Linked DNA regions of Oreochromis niloticus. The protein of the gene in region 1 interacts with the protein of each later gene in a biochemical or structural test. Links are inferred from orthologs where the notes say so. Each region holds a gene or a part of one and is shown in the gene's direction. Other genes may lie near its edges. The genes, in order: nr4a3 and six3a.

Evidence for each region.
Region 2: the proteins of nr4a3 (region 1) and six3a form a complex in vitro, tested with the Homo sapiens proteins (3 studies listed by BioGRID). The link is inferred for Oreochromis niloticus from reciprocal best matches to the Homo sapiens genes NR4A3 and SIX3.

What each region holds. Positions count from the first base shown.
Region 1 is NC_031976.2:19,862,899-19,872,664, forward strand, and holds the start of nr4a3 (nuclear receptor subfamily 4 group A member 3), read left to right. Parts: upstream 1-5,525; 5' UTR 5,526-7,078; coding exon 7,079-7,181; intron 7,182-7,929; coding exon 7,930-8,100; intron 8,101-9,766. UniProt on the Homo sapiens protein: Transcriptional activator that binds to regulatory elements in promoter regions in a cell- and response element (target)-specific manner.
Region 2 is NC_031978.2:10,860,008-10,869,290, reverse strand, and holds six3a (homeobox protein SIX3a), read left to right. Parts: upstream 1-4,691; 5' UTR 4,692-4,841; coding exon 4,842-5,533; intron 5,534-7,272; coding exon 7,273-7,465; 3' UTR 7,466-8,266; downstream 8,267-9,283. UniProt on the Homo sapiens protein: Transcriptional regulator which can act as both a transcriptional repressor and activator by binding a ATTA homeodomain core recognition sequence on these target genes.

The sequences.
Region 1 (9,766 bases):
TGTTCATTTTTTTTTTCTTGTATGTAATAAATAGAGAACAGTCCTTATCATGTTGTTATATGTAATATAAAAGGACATTTGATTACCAATTATCGATTATGTTCCCATAAATATAATTACATTCAGATTCTGATAAAATACAATGAATTTCCATTTTATTGTAGGGAAATTACACCCTTAGTTGTGGGCTGTGTCATAAAGATTTCTGCAGAAGATTTTTGCTGTTTATGAAAATTTATCACCTCGTCTGCTTTTTAGCTGGAGCACAGTCTGGATTCATTTTTGCTTCCCAAAAACTGCAAATTTCAGAGAAAACACTTGCTTTTGCTTTTTTTTGTCTGAAAAAACCCAGAATAATCAGACAACTACAGCATGAGATGCAGTGAGAGAATGCCAGGACATGTGACAGCGGGCAAGGAGAGGTCCATTTAAAAAAAAAAAAGACTGTGGTATAGTAGTATTGGTAACTGCACATCCTTTTTTCTGTTCCACCTGTCTTTTCAGCCACAGCCAAGTGTTAAATTAGGACTTTCTATTTCTGGTGTAACCATAGCATGAGGCAGCAATGAGGTCACAAAGGTGCCAAAGGAAAAAAATATATATCTTTAGGGATGTAGGATGTTTCCTTTTTTGTATGGTTTACTCACTTCACTATCTAGCTGGCTGATGAGGGATCTTATGTTTCAGGTGAAACACAACTACAGACTTAAGTTCACTTCAGTTCAAACAGTCACATTGTGCGGATAATTTAGGAACAGAACGTGAACCCTAATATGTAAACAATTCAATTTTAGGTTTGTAACTTTGGCTCTGGTTACAGTTAAGCCTGGTGTTAAACGCGTATTAGCTGTTTTGAGTACAGTGAGTCTTTGGGGAATTAATGCAAATCAATGCAATGGCCTCCTAAGTGACAAAATAAGTGGCTGTGCGAGTGTGACTGAGTCACCTGATACCCGACGCTGGTGGACGCAGTTGATTACCCACACATCCAATTCTATTAAAAGGACACAGTCATAATCTCTAATCTCTTCCAAGACTGGCGGAATAAGAGAGCAGGTTAATCTGGATTACACGTCAGGACCGTGAGCTCACAGCCCAGGCAGCTGACGGGCCAACGAGCCAGGAACAGGGGAAAAATAATGAACACTAACATAAAGATAGCTATAAGATGAGTTTATGCTATATGATTCATACCTGAAGATAAAGACAGTAGAAATGACCAATAAATTAATTTGCATATGGCACTAATGCAAAGTTTCATCCCCCACCCCCCCCCGAAAGTAGAGGGAATTTATCAGAGGGACTCCGAGCTGAGATAAGACAAAGAACAACACAAGACATGCAGAAGAAGAACAACTTGTGATCTATGCCTATAGGATATGTATGTAGGATACGATCTAGTAATAAGCTTATGATTTACAGAAGATTTGAATACGAGGAACACACAAGAAACATGTGCAGTCTTCAGGGTGCATTAAGACACCTGCACTCTCCAGGCACTCATCTGAACCAGAGCAAACCTCCCACCCATCCACCCACCCGTCTGCCCGATTAAATGTAAGAACATACGTTTAAACAAGCATGAATTGTGTGGAAATGTGAATTAAGAGGGGAAGTTTACACATAAATCACAACTCAAATGAGCCTCTGGACGCCTGTGGTTTTGGTGGCATGTGATCTGTATACCCTGCAGCTGTGATCGTGGCACAAAGGGACTGCCAAAGACTTTCAAAAGTAAAAGTTTTAATCACCAGTCACAGTTGAGCAGGCTACAAACAAAACTTGGCAACTGGCAGGAATGTCAGATGTCCTGCACATTTCACTGCATAACCTACATACCTTCGAGAGGAACTGGAAGGGAGTGAGTTTGGGACAGACGATTTGGTGGACAAGCAAGGCTTTTCTATACATGCACACATGGTCCCCCCCCCCGCAATTTCATGGCTTTTTTAAAACATCCTCTAGTTCACAACTTTTCATCCTCACCACTGAAAAGTGGTTAAAGCTCCCCTGCAGCAGCAGCAGCGGTTTAGCCTCAGCTGATACGCCTCATGTGAGGAGAAGAAGCAGCAGCAGCGGTGCTGTGCGAAGCTGCAAAACCATCACACACACAAACCTGTTGACTGTGTCTGTCTGACGACCTGACGGCTATTTATCTTCACATCTACGGTCTTTTCCACCCTGTTTCCCCCGCAGTGAGTGAGAGTGACACAGAGAGAGAGCCTGTGCTGTACTGGAGCTTTCTCTTGGGGTATGCCTGCTCTACTCTATCAGCTGACTGTAAAACTATCCGGCTAAAATAACAGGTTAACACTGAGTGTGCCGTTTTTGGGGAGCCGAAACTCATTTTCAAACTGCATCCCGAGGCTTCTTTAGCCGAATAAAAACGGGGTCACGCTTTACGGCTAAAAATACCTGTCTATAGCTATATTTGGCTTGGCTGGATCACAATCACAACGCTAAAATAGTCGGGCCCGCCCGACAATGAATAGGATGTCGGCTATCTCACTGTCTCCGTCGGCCAAGAGCTAAAATTAGCAACAAGGCTTGCGTCAATCACGAGCCTCAGTGCGTCAAGGCATTCCCCGCCCCCAGGGGCTGATCATTGGTCGGAATTAGCACGTTGACTGAAAAATACGCGCCTTGTGATTGGTGGTTGAGAATTATTATTCCCGGCGTCTCCGGAGGCGTTTTTTTAATTTTGAGGTTAGCGAGCGCGCAGAAGCGAAACTGATAGCTGCTTCTCACATCCCGTTCAGAGTCTGCTGCCTTCGCTGGCTGCTTGCAGTATTTCCCCACTCTTGACCACATTAGCCTCTCCACAATTTTAAATGTGTGTTTCAAAATTAGAGAGAGAGGGATTTAAGTCCATTCCAATGCCATCCTGTCTGACCTTTTTATGTTTTATTGCTATACAGACATTAATAAATTATATAAATCAGGTCATTTCACCAGCCTTCAAAACTGTCATCAACACACTTTTGTACATATATTTATTTTAAAACATATTAAAAAAAACCCAGCCTTAGATCATCCAGCTCACCCCCACTTAAAATATCCATGTATCAGGACTTTTCTTGATGTCGTTATCTTTTACCAAAATAAGGCTGTGGGATATTACCTTTTCCTGGGATATTACCTTTTTTAAAAACATATTTATCTGCATTTCTCTTAGAAAAATAACCCAGTTATAGTCTGAGCTTTAGGTGGTGATTTTTCATTTAATGCCTTGCCTGAAAGTTGTTCTCAGACTATGGGCATGAAGCCTGGTGAGACATGCAGACACTGAAGAAATACAGAGCGAACCAAAGTCAAAATAATATGATTTTATTTGCAGCCAAAATAAACACAGTTTTGCTAAAGGCTCTCCCTTTTGTGTTAATCATTAATTTAAAACATAAATGATGGTTATGTGGGTTGGCTTCTTTCCTGTTTCCGAGGGGTGTGCCAGGAAAAGTTTGAAAACCACCACCTTAAAGAAATGCTGGGAAATGAACCTTAGAGAAGCTGACTTATACTAACGGTGATGCTTGATGGTCAGTGCCCTGACCAGAAAACATGTCACACATAGTATTATGGTCTTTTTCTCTGAGTTGTGTTTGCAATTGGGTTCTTGGAGACCTGGATTACAAATGATCGCTCCTGTGAAGCACTTTGGGTCAACTGTTGTTTTGGTCTGTTGTTTTAAAACTGCGCTGTACAAAAAATAAAGAAATAAATGACTTTACTTAAGATAAAAAGTCTGTTCTGAGGCTCTTTATTTACAGGTTCTTATGTATCGGCAATTTCAGGTAAAAATCTGTCTGGAGCACATTAAAAAGGCACCAAAATTATGCAAGTGTGCTTTTATGGTGGTTTATAATGATATTATAATTTCATATGATCCCTTCTGGAAACACACCATAAAAGAGCTCCATTACATGGAGAGATGCTGCTTTTGAAAGGTTTGCTTGTGGATAGATGTGTACAATGGGTTAAAACATGCTTCTGAAATGTAATGGAGCACAAGTATCACCAGATAGTTGATTGGAAATATTTAGATACATCCCAGCATGTGTTCTGTATAGGAAAACATGCTCATGACTAAAATTATTGTTACCTTTATTAATATGCTGTGTTTGCAGAAAGAGAAATGGGAGATTTTGATGATGAACCTAAATTTAAAATCTATTTTATTAATATTTCTTTGCATTTTGTAAGGTTTTGTGTTTAGTTTATACTTTATTAAGTAATCTAGAAGAACAGCCTCTTTACAGTTCCTGCTAGTGGTGCAGGCTCGCCCGCCGGATCCCCCTCGGCTTCCTCCCCTGCAACCATCAAACCAACCGCCTCGCTCTCTGGCTCTCTCAGATTCTCTCTCCACCCCTCTCTCTCTCTCTTTCTCTGGCACGGCACACGGGGCTTATGTGTCTTGTACTGTACGGAGAGAGAGAGAGAGGGAGCTCTACACTGGGTGACGTCACCTCTCCCATGGCGTCACATTGACGTAGCGCATACCAAGAGCTCTGTGTGGAGGCAGAGCCCACATAAATGCACTATTTGACTTTCTCCCCTCAGACGGCGCACATAAACAAACGCGCGTTACAAGAGCACACTTTGCAAAGCACCCATCAGCACTGACACACTCAGCAGCACGGGGACGGACGCAGACGCGCTCTTTAGAGCCACTCGGGAGTTTGATGATTTATTTTTTATTTCATTTTCTACTTTTTCTACTTTAGAAAAAGTAAGTGGAAGGAACGGAACTTTTTTTCCTTTCCTTTTCTTTTTCTAATGCCGACGAATCCAGCGCCTCTCCGACATCACTAAGAGTGCTTTTATTATTATTTTTCTTTCCTGTCATTATTTCAACTCTTTGCGGTTGTTCTGGATGGAAAACGGATACTTCACGCCAAGTTATTAGCCTACTACATGTAAAGACGGAACCGCTACAGCAAACAAGTAAGTAAACTGAATGAATGAATGAATCTGTAGCGCTCTGCCTCACATCTTGGCGGAAACACGCAGAAGGAAGATAACCCTCAGCTGTACGTATTCAATTTTTTTGCCCACCTAAATCAAAAGCCATGATGGATTTACTACTCTAACATCATCTGTGCGCGTGGTGCCCAACTTTGTGCGCCCAACCTGTTGCTGCTCACGTCAGCCACCGGCACACGCGTGTTGCCGGTCATGTTTGTCCGCCTGTGCCTATGTGCGGGGTCTCCGACGGCGAATGAGGCTGAACTCTGAATTTAATTTGCGCTGGAGAAGGTATCGTATTCTTTCCGGTTGTCATGGAAATGAGATGCCTCTCACTCTCACAATGAATAGTGGAGTCGGACGCAGAAATGGTCTGAGTGGAGAGCGGTGTAACCTACATTCAGGCAGGAGCTGGGAGAGGAGAGTTAATGCTCTTTGATTTCAAGCCATGGTTTGTTTGGGTTTTTTGTTTTGTGTGTGTGTGTGTGGGGGGGTGTCTTATCGGAGTTTTTTTACATTTTTAATTTTTTGAGGGCGTGGTGTCTTTTTATAATATATATATATATATATGTGTGTGTAAGTGTGTGTTTGTGAGGTTGTGGGTGTGTTTGTGTTTAGATATCGCTCGGCTGATAGTCTGTGTCACACTGCGCTATGATTTAACCTCCAGTAACATGGAGTGAGCGTACAGTTAGCATTAACCCGTATATAATAAAACTGTCCCAAGATACACTGGTACTCAAATTGCTTCCGAATTTCATGAGCCATGTATCGCAGGAAAAACACCCTCAACCATAAAGCCACAACAACATTTCTGAAGCCCATCTTGAAGCATGCTCCAGCAGCTATCGTGCCTCTTGGCCAGTCACGTAGTTTATAATAATAAGCTGACAACACCGGGTTGAGGTACTTAAGTAAGCTGCTGGTTTTACCTTCTTTTCTCCCCTCAGTTCCCTCACACACACTCAGGTTTACGCACGCACGAACGCGCGCACGCAGGCTCCAGTGACAGGCTCCCACTCAGGGCTGATTTACAGTAGGCTAGGCTACTCGCATATTTCTCTGCTCTTTCCTTTATGTCCTTTCTTTTCTCTGTTTCTGTTTGCTGGAAGCCTCGCGCTGTCCGGAGTTATTGGTGCGAGGGGGCTACCGGGGGCTACCGGCGCTCCGGGGCGCGTGCTTTGCAGCTCTTATGTCGTTCTCTTGGTTACCGGTGCGCGCAGGGCCAGAGCCCCACCGACCGGCTCGGTCTGAGAATAAAGTAAAAGGGGGGCGGGTTCATTAAAAAAAGTAAGAAAAAGGCAGAATGTCTCACTTTGTACAAAAATAAGTTTGTTTGAAGTAAAAACACTTCATCTTCATCTCTTTAACGCCCTCGGTGGCTCTGATTAGAGCGTATTTACGCAGTTACGGGTTTAGCTTCACAACTTTATGTAAGAATGAGATGACTTCAACTTATTTCAAATGGACTCTCATTTGTGCTGTTACTGTAAGAAAATCATTTTTCAGGCCTAAAGGGGTCTCTTTTTTTCTCTCAGTGCTCAAATGGCTCCATACACAATTTAATAATGGCTTAACTGTTCCAAATCAGTCCTAATCAAATAAATGTTATACAGCTTGACTTGTTTATTTACTCTGGTTTGTCCTTTTTTGTTTATTCCAACCTATTTGGGGACTGTTAAAAGCCATATTCCGACAAAAGAACCACCGACAGGGGGTTCGTGGGTGTCCAGTAAGTCCTTTGAGAAGTGGTTCAAAGTTTGGTCAAAAGTGGCTGCTGACATGAAGCTGCAGGTGCCCCTAGTCTTGATCCGTATGAGGGTTGTGGGTTGTCACCAAGCTGTTTTGCGATACACACAGGGAGACTGTGTGGTCTTCTCAACTTGACCGTCTCATAGAGGGGTCTGTGTGTGGCGGAGAGAGAGCCACAGTGAGAGAGAGACAGAGTATATAGGAGTGTGTTACAGAAAGGGGGCGCTCTGGGCCTTGAAATCTTCCGGCCACGGTGCACCCTGCTGCAGTGAGAGGGAGTCGGAGGCGCACGGCGCACAGGAGCCCGCTGGTCTGGTTTCAGGTCCGACTCTCCCAATTTTCTAGATTTCTCTCTCCCCTCTGGATGAACCCTGAGCAGGCGAATGCGGTGGTGATCAGAGGCAAGAAAAGCGATGGCCCGGAGGCACTGGCGCAAGCTGCTTTTATAAAAGTTGTCACTTTTGTAGGTCTGTATTGTGATATTTTTTTTCATTATTATTATTTTGTTTCAGAAGTCGTGCATAGTTTGTTGACTGGTGGAATTTCTGTTTTGCGGTGCAAAATATCTGTTCGGCAGTAATTATGATAATAATAATAATAATAATAACGGCGCAGACTTTAGTGCTAAAATGAAACCTGTCGCCCACGTAGGCAAAGTTTTGAAATGAACCCAAAGTCCTCAGTTGTGGTTCTCTTTGTAGGATGCACTCAGTGACATATTCATTGTCAGAATTGCCCTGTGTTGGATGTAAAAGTCTAAATCTTATCCCTAATTTGCCTTCCAGCGTGTGCACTGGTAGTTGTTTGAATTTACGCCGTCTCAGCGCAGTGCTTTACATCCCCTGTTATCTCTTTCCACTGCTTTTAAACTGACTGAATCTCTCAGATGAGATTTTTGTGCCAATAACGATTTGCTTTTGAGATGAAACGAACGCTTTTCTGGTTGTCTTTAAATTGTGCAAAAATGTTTCTCTGTCCGATTTTTTTCTGAAAGTGTGAGGAAATTTTGAACACCGAATTCGAATTTGCTTAAGTTTGTGGAAGCAATTTAAACAAAGGTCTCCATTCTTGAGGGAGAAAAAAAAAAAAGAAAGAATTTTTCGCTTCTCTTTGAGTAATCTTTTTTTTTTTAAAGTCTTTACGAGCGTTTGAGGCACTTAGGCTACCTGATTATTCAGCCTGCCACTGGCTTTAACACAGCCATGTCTCACCCAGGCACAGGTTCGGAAGAGCGCGCCCAGCCGAGCTCGGAGCCCCGGCGATCGGACACTTCCTTAGCGACGCCCGCCGAGCCCTCCCCGCTCCAGGAGCCCTGCCCCGGCCGCAGCCACGCCACCCCTAAATCCCGGACACCCAGCACCATTCAGCGCGAGGCTCTTTCACCAGGTACAGAAACAAGCGCTCAGTCTGTCTTCACTTTCATCTCATCTTTTTTTTTCTTTCTTTCTTTCTTGTTTAATCTCCTTCTCATCTGATGCTTTTGTAAAGAGTGCAGCGGCTCTGACACTTTCATTTCGTGTTGCTGTTGTGGAGTGCTTGGTGATATGAGTCGGGTGATTGTTTTATTGTGGGGAAAAAAGAAAAAAACAACATTCCCAAAAATTAAAATATATATATATATATATATATATATATATATATATATATATATATATATACATATATATATATAAATCATTTTATTTAGTAGTTTAAAACACAGGGGTTAGATCTGAATATCAGCTGGTAGGCAGTCGTTTTATGTATGTGTTTTACTCCTGTTAAAGGTCAAAATATGACTTGAACTTTCCTGAATGTTCTGGTGATCTTTTGTTTGTGCTGCAGCCGTGAGCCCATGTGTATGTGTGTGGGTTGATTTTGTCTGGCAAGTGAGCTGACATTTCAGTCATTAAGATAAGACAATTCTGAGGCCAGGCACACTTATATCCAAAACCTGGAGGCAAAATGTGAATCATATATATATATATTTATATATAATACAATCACACAAACACACACACATATATATATGTGTGTGTGTGAGAGAGAGAGAGAGAGAGAGAGAGAGAGAGAGAGAGAGAGAGAATTTTGTCCATTATAATTCAATAGAGAAACTAGACTGTATACCCTGAAGTAACTGGTTGTGTAAGTGTCTCTGTGCTTTGTGGTTTTTTTGGGGGGGGGGGTTGTGTGCACAGTGTAAAGGGAACAAAAGTAAAAATCACTCTACTCATTGTGGGACGCTGACTCCCCGAAAATGTTTTATAGTTTATTGATATAAAAAATCTGTGTTTTTGTAATTTATGTCTGCACCTTCATGTTTTCATTTGTTAGATCTATGGCATTCTGACAATGAACAAGCGCACTCAGTTATTGGAACAGCTGCAGTTTGTCCAGTTGAAATGCACACCTCGAGGTTAGAGACTGTTTCCCTTTGCCTCACTATGCTGCACCACCTGTGTCTGACTCTGCTTGGGTTGTCTGTCCTCTTGCTTGCACACACACACGCACACAAACAGACACATATGCACACAACTGCTTCAATGCAAGTGTCACAAAGGCGACCCGATGGTGGTATTGGACTTTTGAGAATCCCTTACACTGACTTGCTTTGGTGACATTAACAACTAAGAAGCTCCGGTGATGGATTTCTATTTGCACTTGTGGTGAGTGTGTAAGAGAGGATGCAAGCTTGTAAGCATGGGTGTGTGAGTGAATGTTCGGCACGCCAACAAAAGTCAAGCAACGAAGACGGTGAGACACTCGCAGAGACAAGTGGTTTTACAGGTTTTCAGGATAAGGGTGTATGCTTTTGGTAGAATGAACATATACAAGTCCATGTTGACATCTTGAACATTATAAGCGGATGAACACACGTGGTGGTGTGTGTGTGTGTACGAGAAACAATTTCTTTACTCACCTGACAGACAAAAATCACACTACTTTGTAGCCTTTCTGCCTTTTTCTCTCTCATTCTTTCATCTCTTCACAGAAAAACCAAAAAATTACCATATTTAAATATAAACATGTGCATGTGCCACGTGCAGTAAGTCTTGCACACATTTCCACACTA
Region 2 (9,283 bases), on another chromosome or scaffold:
ATCTTAATGTTGAGGCGCCTTTCTCTACCGGCCCGGGGAGGAGCCCTCATTAACTGTCGCTAACAACCCGTGTAAATACACTGATTGGACAGCTCCGATACAAGCTCCCAGCCCTGCCAGGAAGTCCCCCTAATGAGACCACACAATAAAAACAATAAAAGAAAGGAGGGAGAGAGAGAGAGAGAGAGATGTTAAAACTTTTGTAAAAGCTTTACTATTAAAGTTGGAGCCACGTTTACAGATCAGTGACATTTGCGGTGAAAAAACGTTTTAAATTCAATCATGGCGTTTTTCTGTTTCTTTAATTTTAAATTTAGACACTATTGTGTGTCGTGCATGCATCTGCAAACGTAAACAGAGGTTTTGCCTATTGCTTATGTGATCACAAGTTGTTATTCAGAGGCTGTTTTAAGATATTGCAACCGACTTAATTGTTTTGGCGCTTGAGTTCACCATGGAATGAACCAAATCGTAATAGCGTCACATGCAGGTCTAATATTAATTTTTAAATGGTTTTAAAAAATAGAATGCAGTTGTTATAGCTGCTGACTATATGCTTTAATCGCATTTTTGCACTGCAAAAAATATCCAATTTGTTTTCATTTCATCAAAATTTCCTCAGATACGGTAAAAAAAAAAAAAAAAAATCCAGTGACACAAATTTTATGCATAGCATTTTTTTTAAAAGAAGCGGTATAATATTTCTAAAGAAAACGGAGTTCTGCATTTCTTGTACTAACTCGAAATTTTCACCAGAAACTTTAAACAGAAGCAGATGAAGTTATATCTGATCGAGATGTGTCCTTTTACATCCTTCTCCCAAATGTATGATACAGCCATTCATTTTCCCAAAAATAAACCCGTATTTTTAAAACTCAGTGCTACATTAAATGACACCTCTAGACTGATACTTTTTACAGTGTGGGGAGAAAGCAGCGTCTCCGTACCCTGGACTAGCCAGCATGGGATGGAGGCGATTGTGCGCCCCGTCCCGACAGCATCACACATCTGCTCTGCAAAGACAGATCTTCCCTATTCTCGGTGAGGGAAAGGTCAGATAACACCAAATGTAACTTTTCTGATCTAAAGGATAGATTAACCTCATATCAAGGTCTGTTAAGATTTTTCTGTTTAATTCCATATTTTTGTTTAAATAAATGAATTGTCCGCAAAAATAACAACGAGTCAACAACGTCGCAGACGGAAATTGCTCTGCTTACATTTAACAGAACTTACAGACACTGCAGCTCGATTTCCATCCTACTTTTGGACAAACTGACCAGTGAAATAACCGTGAAGCGGTGCCATCTCCAGCTACAGCTTCCAAGCTCAAATGGTGACCGCTCGTGGACTGGAGCCAGCTTACAGCCCTGCAGGAGACAAGAACGAGCAAGGTGGGGGGGGAAAGGTAATTCCTGATATTCTGAGAGAAAAACACAAGCGTTGAGTTTCCACGTGATTAAAAGAAAATTGCATTTCTCTGTTGGCAGGATAATAATAAATGCATCCTCTGGCGCGTGCGAAAATAAATTCAGCAGAAACTAGACAGCCTTGTTCTAAGAGAAAAGCAAAAGAGAAAACCTTTTTTTTTGTACGTACCAGTCATTTCTCCAAAGTGTCTGTGTAATGTTGAGATGAATCCAGGATGGAGCAGTAGGCACATGTGCCTCTCCTGTGTTTGCCAGGGAGGGGTGTGCTGCCTTTTCTGGGAAGCTTCTGCCAAACCGGGGTCAACGAGGGAGCAAAAAATAAAACAAGACCCTTTCTTTCGTGCCTTCTCTTTCCCTCTTACCTTTTACAGTCAACACCTTTTCTTTCTTTCTCTCATCCGGTCCCCTTCTCCCTCTCTCACTCCCAAACGTGACGTAACATCAGCTTTGTTTATTTGCTCCCCTTATTGGAACAGACAGAAAAAGAAATATAACTACTTAATGAAGATTAACGAACACTTTTAGACGCAATATGTTCCGATAGGACTAACATATCATGGTCAATGAACAGTATTACCCTATCACATTAACAACTTCAAATAAATAAAAAAAGAAACTTGTTTTATTTATACAAAACTTTTCCAAACAAAGTTTGACATTCCATTTTACGATCAGCCAAAAGGAATGGGAAGCGAGATCCAGCTGCTTAACAGACACGGACGCCTGTTCCTGCTTGACCAGCATGTTTCCAGTTTTTTAGCATGAAAAATGCTGTTTGTGTTGTCTTGTTTGGAGGTTTAGGCTGTAAGTAAACGGAGAAGACGCTAAATGCTCAATGTGCATTCAGAGCTCTCGTCCCCCGCTGCTAGGAACATTCAGCAAGCTCTCGGATAAACACACAATTACGGCAGGTGAATAAACTTGTTTGGGAGGTGTTAATTACATGCTTAACATAAACAAAAGCCATGTAAAAGAATGTGAATTACCAGTGGCTTTTCTCCCTCAATCCCCATTCAGGTTTTACATTTCACCTCTAGTCTTTTCTAAGAGTGATTTCCGAATTGCCTGCGAGGGCTACTCCCAAACAAGGCTCCTCCAAAACATAATGCTACATAATACCTGCAGCCTTGGGTTGAATGGTGATCAGCTAAATTGGTACACCAGGAACCCGGTCAGGTAGGAGGCTTTGCATATTTGGAGAAGTGCTGCTAAGCCCGCACTCTCAACTTCATGTTGGGGTCATGCATGTGTGTATATGTGTGTGAGAGAGAAAGAGAGAAAGAGAAAGAGGAGGGGGTATAGGCTAGGAGGTTAGTTTTAACACCAGCATGAAAATACCAGCCTTTACTTCCAGTCCACAGAGCTTTCCAACGGGACCAATTCAAGTGCCACTTGGAATTAGTCCTCCTGAGGTTCGTATAGGAGCGCAGTGGACAGGTTTGATCCCATACTCTACCCTGCCCCCACACGCACAAACACGCGCGCAAACTCCAGAAGTAACACACGAACCAAACGCCTGACCCTGCTGCAAGATCATCACAACGCCCACTCTGCATCACATACACCTCCAGACACAGACACTCGCACCCCACTCCTGCACGCACATGTTCGCACGAGTTAAAGCACTGCTTTACCTAAAACGCGTAATAGTGCGCCAGTGTTGGCTAATTGCTCGGCGGCAATCACGTTGTTTAAGCGCATCAGGTAAGGTTTGTGGTGGACATAAACAGGCAGCACTGACTATACATGCACGCTGAGGTACTCACTGTCCCTCCAAGCTTGAAGTCGTTGGTCAGCCGGGAGAATGTGCAACTCGGAGAGAGGAAAGGGAACGTTTTGAATTCCTGAATGATTTTGTAGAAAGGCGGCTTAGGATCATTATGTCAGCTTTGCTGAGGGTGGATTAAGCGAAGTCTAGATTCTATGCCCTGTACACGGCTCTTTCACAATGTGAGCACTGTTCGTGTTAGACTGAATTCACACTATTTTAACACCCTATAAGCCCTGTCTAAATATGAAGCCAGTTTAGCCATAAACATGAAAATCACACCGCCGTGGCTACCACTATAAGCCGAGTCCTATGACTGAATGTGGACATTGATCATGTCCTTACCACTAGATCAAAAAAAATGAAATAGCTTTTATGTCCCCAAGAACCTTTCATGTTGCCATTTGATTGTAATTCCAATACTAGCCTAATAGTTTTAATTAGAGGGCCGCGCCATAAAAAACGCGATAAACTGTTAAAAGGGCGATGCCACTGGCAAATTAGTTTTCGCACTACAATGCCGTGATCTTTGTTCAATCAACACAATGCTGCGCGTCGATATTAATTTGTAACAATAAATTCTGTTGGTTGGAGAGAAGGCAACGGGCAGGGGGCCAGGACTGCACCCAGCGTCCCAGAGGCAGGGCCGGGGACAGCAGGAGGGGGAGCGGATCACTGCAGTATACCCCCGGACAAGTACCCACCCATCATAAAGTGACCACACAGAACAGCTAGGCCGAGTAAAGTCATGCGCGGATTATGTCATAAAATTGCAAACATGCAGTTTTTTAAACCATCGACGGATCCAGGGCAAAAAACAAACAAAAGACAGAAACAAAAGACATAAAACAAAAACCCTTAAACGCTTAAGGGACTACATCATAGTTTGTTTGTTTTTTCAAAAGAACAAGAAAATGTAAAGCGATCACATGTATCTATGAAAAGGAAAATGTAACCCAGAAGACTAACGCTTTCATTTCCGTCGCACAAAAATGAATGGAGTGATAAAAAGATTCTAAAAAGTAGCTACTACAGGAAAAACTATACAAAAACAATGTGCAAATTGACTCGCTTCTATTCAAAACGTGTATTCCCGAGTTGCAGTCATTGGTTGTCCATTTGTCACCCATTTAAAGCTCCCTCTGCCTCCCTCCCTCCCTTCCCGTCTCTGCTAAGCATCTCCAGTCTACATATCTTCTTTAGCTTTAACGAGCCTCGTTAAGATCGCAATAATATTCCACCCTCTAATTGCTCATTCCATTCAGCAGATAGGCGAGCATTGGCTTGTGCCTGATGCGCGCGATGCGGTGGGAGGGTTGCTGTGGAGATCGGAGACTCTGATAACCCCCCGTGCGTGCTGCACAAGTGGTGAAAGCCTCGCGCTACGTACTGGCTAATGATTGGCACGCTTGACAGTGATTGGCAGGGCTGCCATGACAACGCTACAACGACACCAAGAAGACCAATAGAAAAGGGAAACAAAATGTTTCAATGCTACACTCAACGGCGGATTTAGGGGGGAGATATTATGAGGCTGGTGTCATTAGGCGATAGCCATTGAATCATTCAATCTTTTTTACTTGCCGTATTTTTCGGTTTTTCCCTTTTTCTCGATAATTTTCTTTCTCTCTCAGGTCATTTCCATGGTTTTCAGATCCCCTTTAGAGCTTTATCCCTCCCATTTCTTCCTGCCAAACTTCGCTGATCGCCCTCTGCTCCTGGCGAACAGCGCTCCCACCACCAGGTCTCCAGAAGACTTGTCCATGTTTCAACTACCGACCCTCAACTTTTCCCCGGAGCAGGTGGCAAGCGTCTGTGAGACGCTGGAAGAGACCGGGGACATCGAACGGCTGGGCCGCTTCCTCTGGTCCTTGCCTGTGGCTCCGGGAGCGTGCGAGGCGATCAACAAGCATGAGTCCATCCTGCGCGCTCGGGCCGTGGTGGCGTTCCACACCGGGAATTTCAGAGACCTCTACCACATCCTGGAGAACCACAAGTTCACCAAGGACTCTCATGGCAAACTGCAGGCCATGTGGCTGGAAGCTCACTACCAGGAGGCCGAGAAGCTCCGCGGTCGTCCCCTCGGACCTGTCGATAAGTACCGGGTACGGAAGAAGTTTCCGCTGCCTCGGACCATCTGGGACGGCGAGCAGAAGACGCACTGTTTCAAAGAGCGGACACGGAGCCTGTTGAGGGAGTGGTACCTTCAGGACCCATATCCAAATCCCAGCAAGAAAAGGGAACTGGCTCAAGCCACTGGACTCACTCCCACACAGGTCGGAAACTGGTTTAAAAACCGGAGGCAAAGAGACAGAGCTGCGGCGGCCAAAAACAGGTTGGTGACTTTTCAGTATGCCGTCGAAACACGAGCATGCACACAAGTTTGTCTTTAATGCACATTCAAAAGAAAATACGACCTTTTCAAGCCTTATATTGCGATTGGAGACTGTCTAGGAAAAAGATAAGTCTGGCTGTCATGTGGAGGGAGTGCGCTGCGGCGACATTTTGTTATCAAATCCGGATAAACATCGAAAATATTCTTTTTGTAGATATCCAGAGTTCTCCTAAGCATAAAAACTTCATTATTATTATCAAAAATCGGCTTTTAAACATTTTTTGCAGATTGATTATTTTTTAATGTATTTTAAATTGAACGCAAATTTTATTTAAGAATGAAAAATACAAATAATCTAAAGTTTGGTATTTTAAAAAAACTGACTAATAAAATAGTACAAACACAAACTACATTTGTTGTCAATCTTGAGAAGCGATAATTGAGCCGAGTTCTTTTTAAACAGAAACACCCTATTTATATTTTTACAAGAGTGAAAGTATTCTAGCAACATATGAAGATTATTGAATTTATATTTAGAAAAACATTCCGCTGCAGGATTTGTTTAATTTTACAACTATTTCGCTTGTAAAATTGTAAACAACCTAGTGAATTATTTCAATCAGCTGAAATAAAAACAGGACAGTGTTTTTTAAAAATAAGTATTCTAAAGTTAAATCGTCTCATCTTTACATTTAAACACATATTAAATTGTTAAAATTATAAAATTATTTATTTATTTATGTTTATTGATAAATGTAACTTCTTAATGCAAGCGTTAAGCGTTTTAACATCAAATGTTGCTTATTGTTGTTGAACACAACGATTATCTCAAAGGATAATAGCGATATTATTGATATCTGAGCATGCGTAGAGAAAAACATCTGAAGACATAGGCTGTATTCATAACATTAAGTGTAGTATCATTCCATTGAAATGCCATAATTGATTAGAAAATACTTTGGAGAGCACTAAGCCATATGAACAGTACTCTAATATTTTTGCTAAATGAATAGATATATTTCCAGGCTGACATTATCCCCACGCGATGGAGTTATTATCATGAGTGGATTGGAGATAAACATTTAGGATGATTGGAGTAACCTGGATCTCAACGTCACTCATTCATACACGTCCCCTACCATCAGACTAAAACACATCTGTGCCAAAGGCTCACGGCAGTTTGTCATTGTGAGAATACACATATTTTATTTCAAACAATGATATATAATTATTTTGGGGGTTTTAGGCGTGCAAAGTCCTGCTGATGAGCATGAATACACGTGTGCAGAATGAAGAAATAATAATAAACGCTGAACAAACTCAGAGCAGTAACATAGATTTCCAAATGGAAAATGTCTTCAAACTGCCCATATCAAAGACAGCAAGTTGGAATTGAAGCTTTCCTGCACTGGCAACATGGATCATTTATATTCCAGAGTGTTGACTAGGACGTTGATCTCTAAGAAAAAAAAAATAAGTTAAAAAACAACAACAACAACACAGCCCTAGTACATTTCCTCCAACATTTGGTAGTCTAAATAGTGGTGTGTTTTGTCCCCTGAAAGCTGGCTATTTGATAAAAGCACGCATGCATGGCTGGGGCCGGCAGGGGGAAAGAAAGGCGAGTTTGAACCCCTATTTTGCAGGAGGAGGAGGGGAAGGGGGACATTCTCAGGTCTAATTGCCATTTCTCTCATTTTTTCTCTTTTTTCCCCCTCCTCGTTTCTTTTCTTCTCCAGGCTCCAGCACCAAGCAATAGGACCAGCCGGTATGAGGTCCCTCTCAGAGGCCGGTCTCACCCCTCACAGCTCGGCAGAGTCGCCTTCAACCGCGGCAAGTCCCACCACCAGCGTTTCCAGTATGACAGAGAGAGTTGATACTGGGACGTCCATCCTGTCCGTCACATCCAGTGACTCGGAGTGCGATGTATGATACGGAGAAAAAAAACACAAAAACAAACAAAAAGAGAAATATTTACAGGGAAAATGGACCTGAGAGGAAGAAAAAAGACTATGAAATATCGCGGATGAAAAAAGGACCGATTGATATAAATATTAAAATAAAAAGAGTTAAAAGCACGTCGTTTTTTTTTTGTTTTTGTTTTTTTTATTATTAAAAAGCGCTTTCAAAGGACCCACGCCTCCCCCTCCTCTTCATCCCCCACACCACCACCACCATACTACTAGACTACTTGCATGATGGTTTTTTTTTTAATTTTATTTTTGATTTTGTAATCAGGGAAATAATCCTGAATGCAAGATTTTCCATCAGGAACATCGATCAGAGGGAATAAAACAGATCGTCTTGGTGTTTTCGTCGCACCTTTTCCCATCTCCGGTTCTAGTCCAAGTGATGATGATGATGATATGGCGGTGAAGCAGCCGCCATGCAGACAAGATGCAATCCTGTTTTTACTTTGTGTTCATCAGACAATCATTTTAAGTCGTAAGCACCTTTTTTTAATACACTTCTGTCACTGCCTGTGGGGTACATGGTCAAAAAATGTCGAACAGAACCGTTTATGACTGTATCAGAATTTTATTTTTATTTTCGAAATTTTATATTGAATTATGTATATCTCAAATAATGCGATCATTCTCCCGGTCTGTAATATACGTGTAGAAATATGCTTGTACATAATTATTGCTCTCCCCCGTGTCATCCTCTTTTCTATCCCTTCCTCACTTTTCTTGACTTGGTGTTCCTACATAAAATATTTGTCAAAACTTAAAACTGAAGTGCTCTAGGCGTTTTTGTTGGTTTTCTTTGATTTTTGGTGGGTTGTTAATGACAAAAAAACCAAAACCAAAAACATATATATACTCTTCCGTCCACCGGGGTCACTCTGAGCGCTTATTTGCGTTTGCCAATGTCATTTCCCTTTCCTTGCGTAGTTATTATGTGCCTTGTAGTTAAGACTCTAAAAATCAAACGCACTATTCATTTTGCTATACCTCTTTGCATGATGATGTCTGTATTTCCATCCGATTACGGATAAGGACAGTGATAAGTGGCTAAACACATGATCATATTGGATCATTATTGGATTGTGGAAGCATTAATGCTCATCGTGGCTAATCCAGCCTCAGAGCAGGTTATGCAGTCAGGGGGCTGGTCTCACCTAAAATTAGTTTGATTTCATTTCAAGTACAGTGTTAACTCAGAATTTAATTATATGTATCGTCTTGGCGTAGATGGCTTGGTCGTGTGCAGCGACAAAAGCGACACAACGCTGCAATTCAATTTTAATTTTGTAATTTTATTTTCAAAAAGAAGACTTTAATTCTGCTTTATTTTATGATTAGTTTGAGCCAGTGTCCTGGCTCAAACTTATATGATGCAGACAAAATCGCCTATATGACTGCCTCAGTCTCCAAATTCTGGCAAATGTCAACGTCATGCAGCACTTAAAAATGTGAGTGCTATTTCCCCTTTTGTTTACCGTTGCTAGTGAATACAGAAATTAAGTAAACGCGCCATTAAATGGGCTAATCACGATGGGACTCCTCCCCTGTCCCAATCTCCCATTGTGGCCCCTGAAAAGAGCTTTTCTTCCTCGGACGAGAACCATTTCCCCCTCCAAAAAAAGGCTTTCTCTCCTGCAGTCCCTTTGCATCCAAATCCCTAACCAATTATTCTGCAGACTAGAGCAGATTTGCCACAGGACACTGTTGCACGAACTGCAGTTTTGGTGGAAACACTTTCTCAGAGATTTGTTTCCTAGAAGCAGCGCTCAGGCTCTCCCCATGT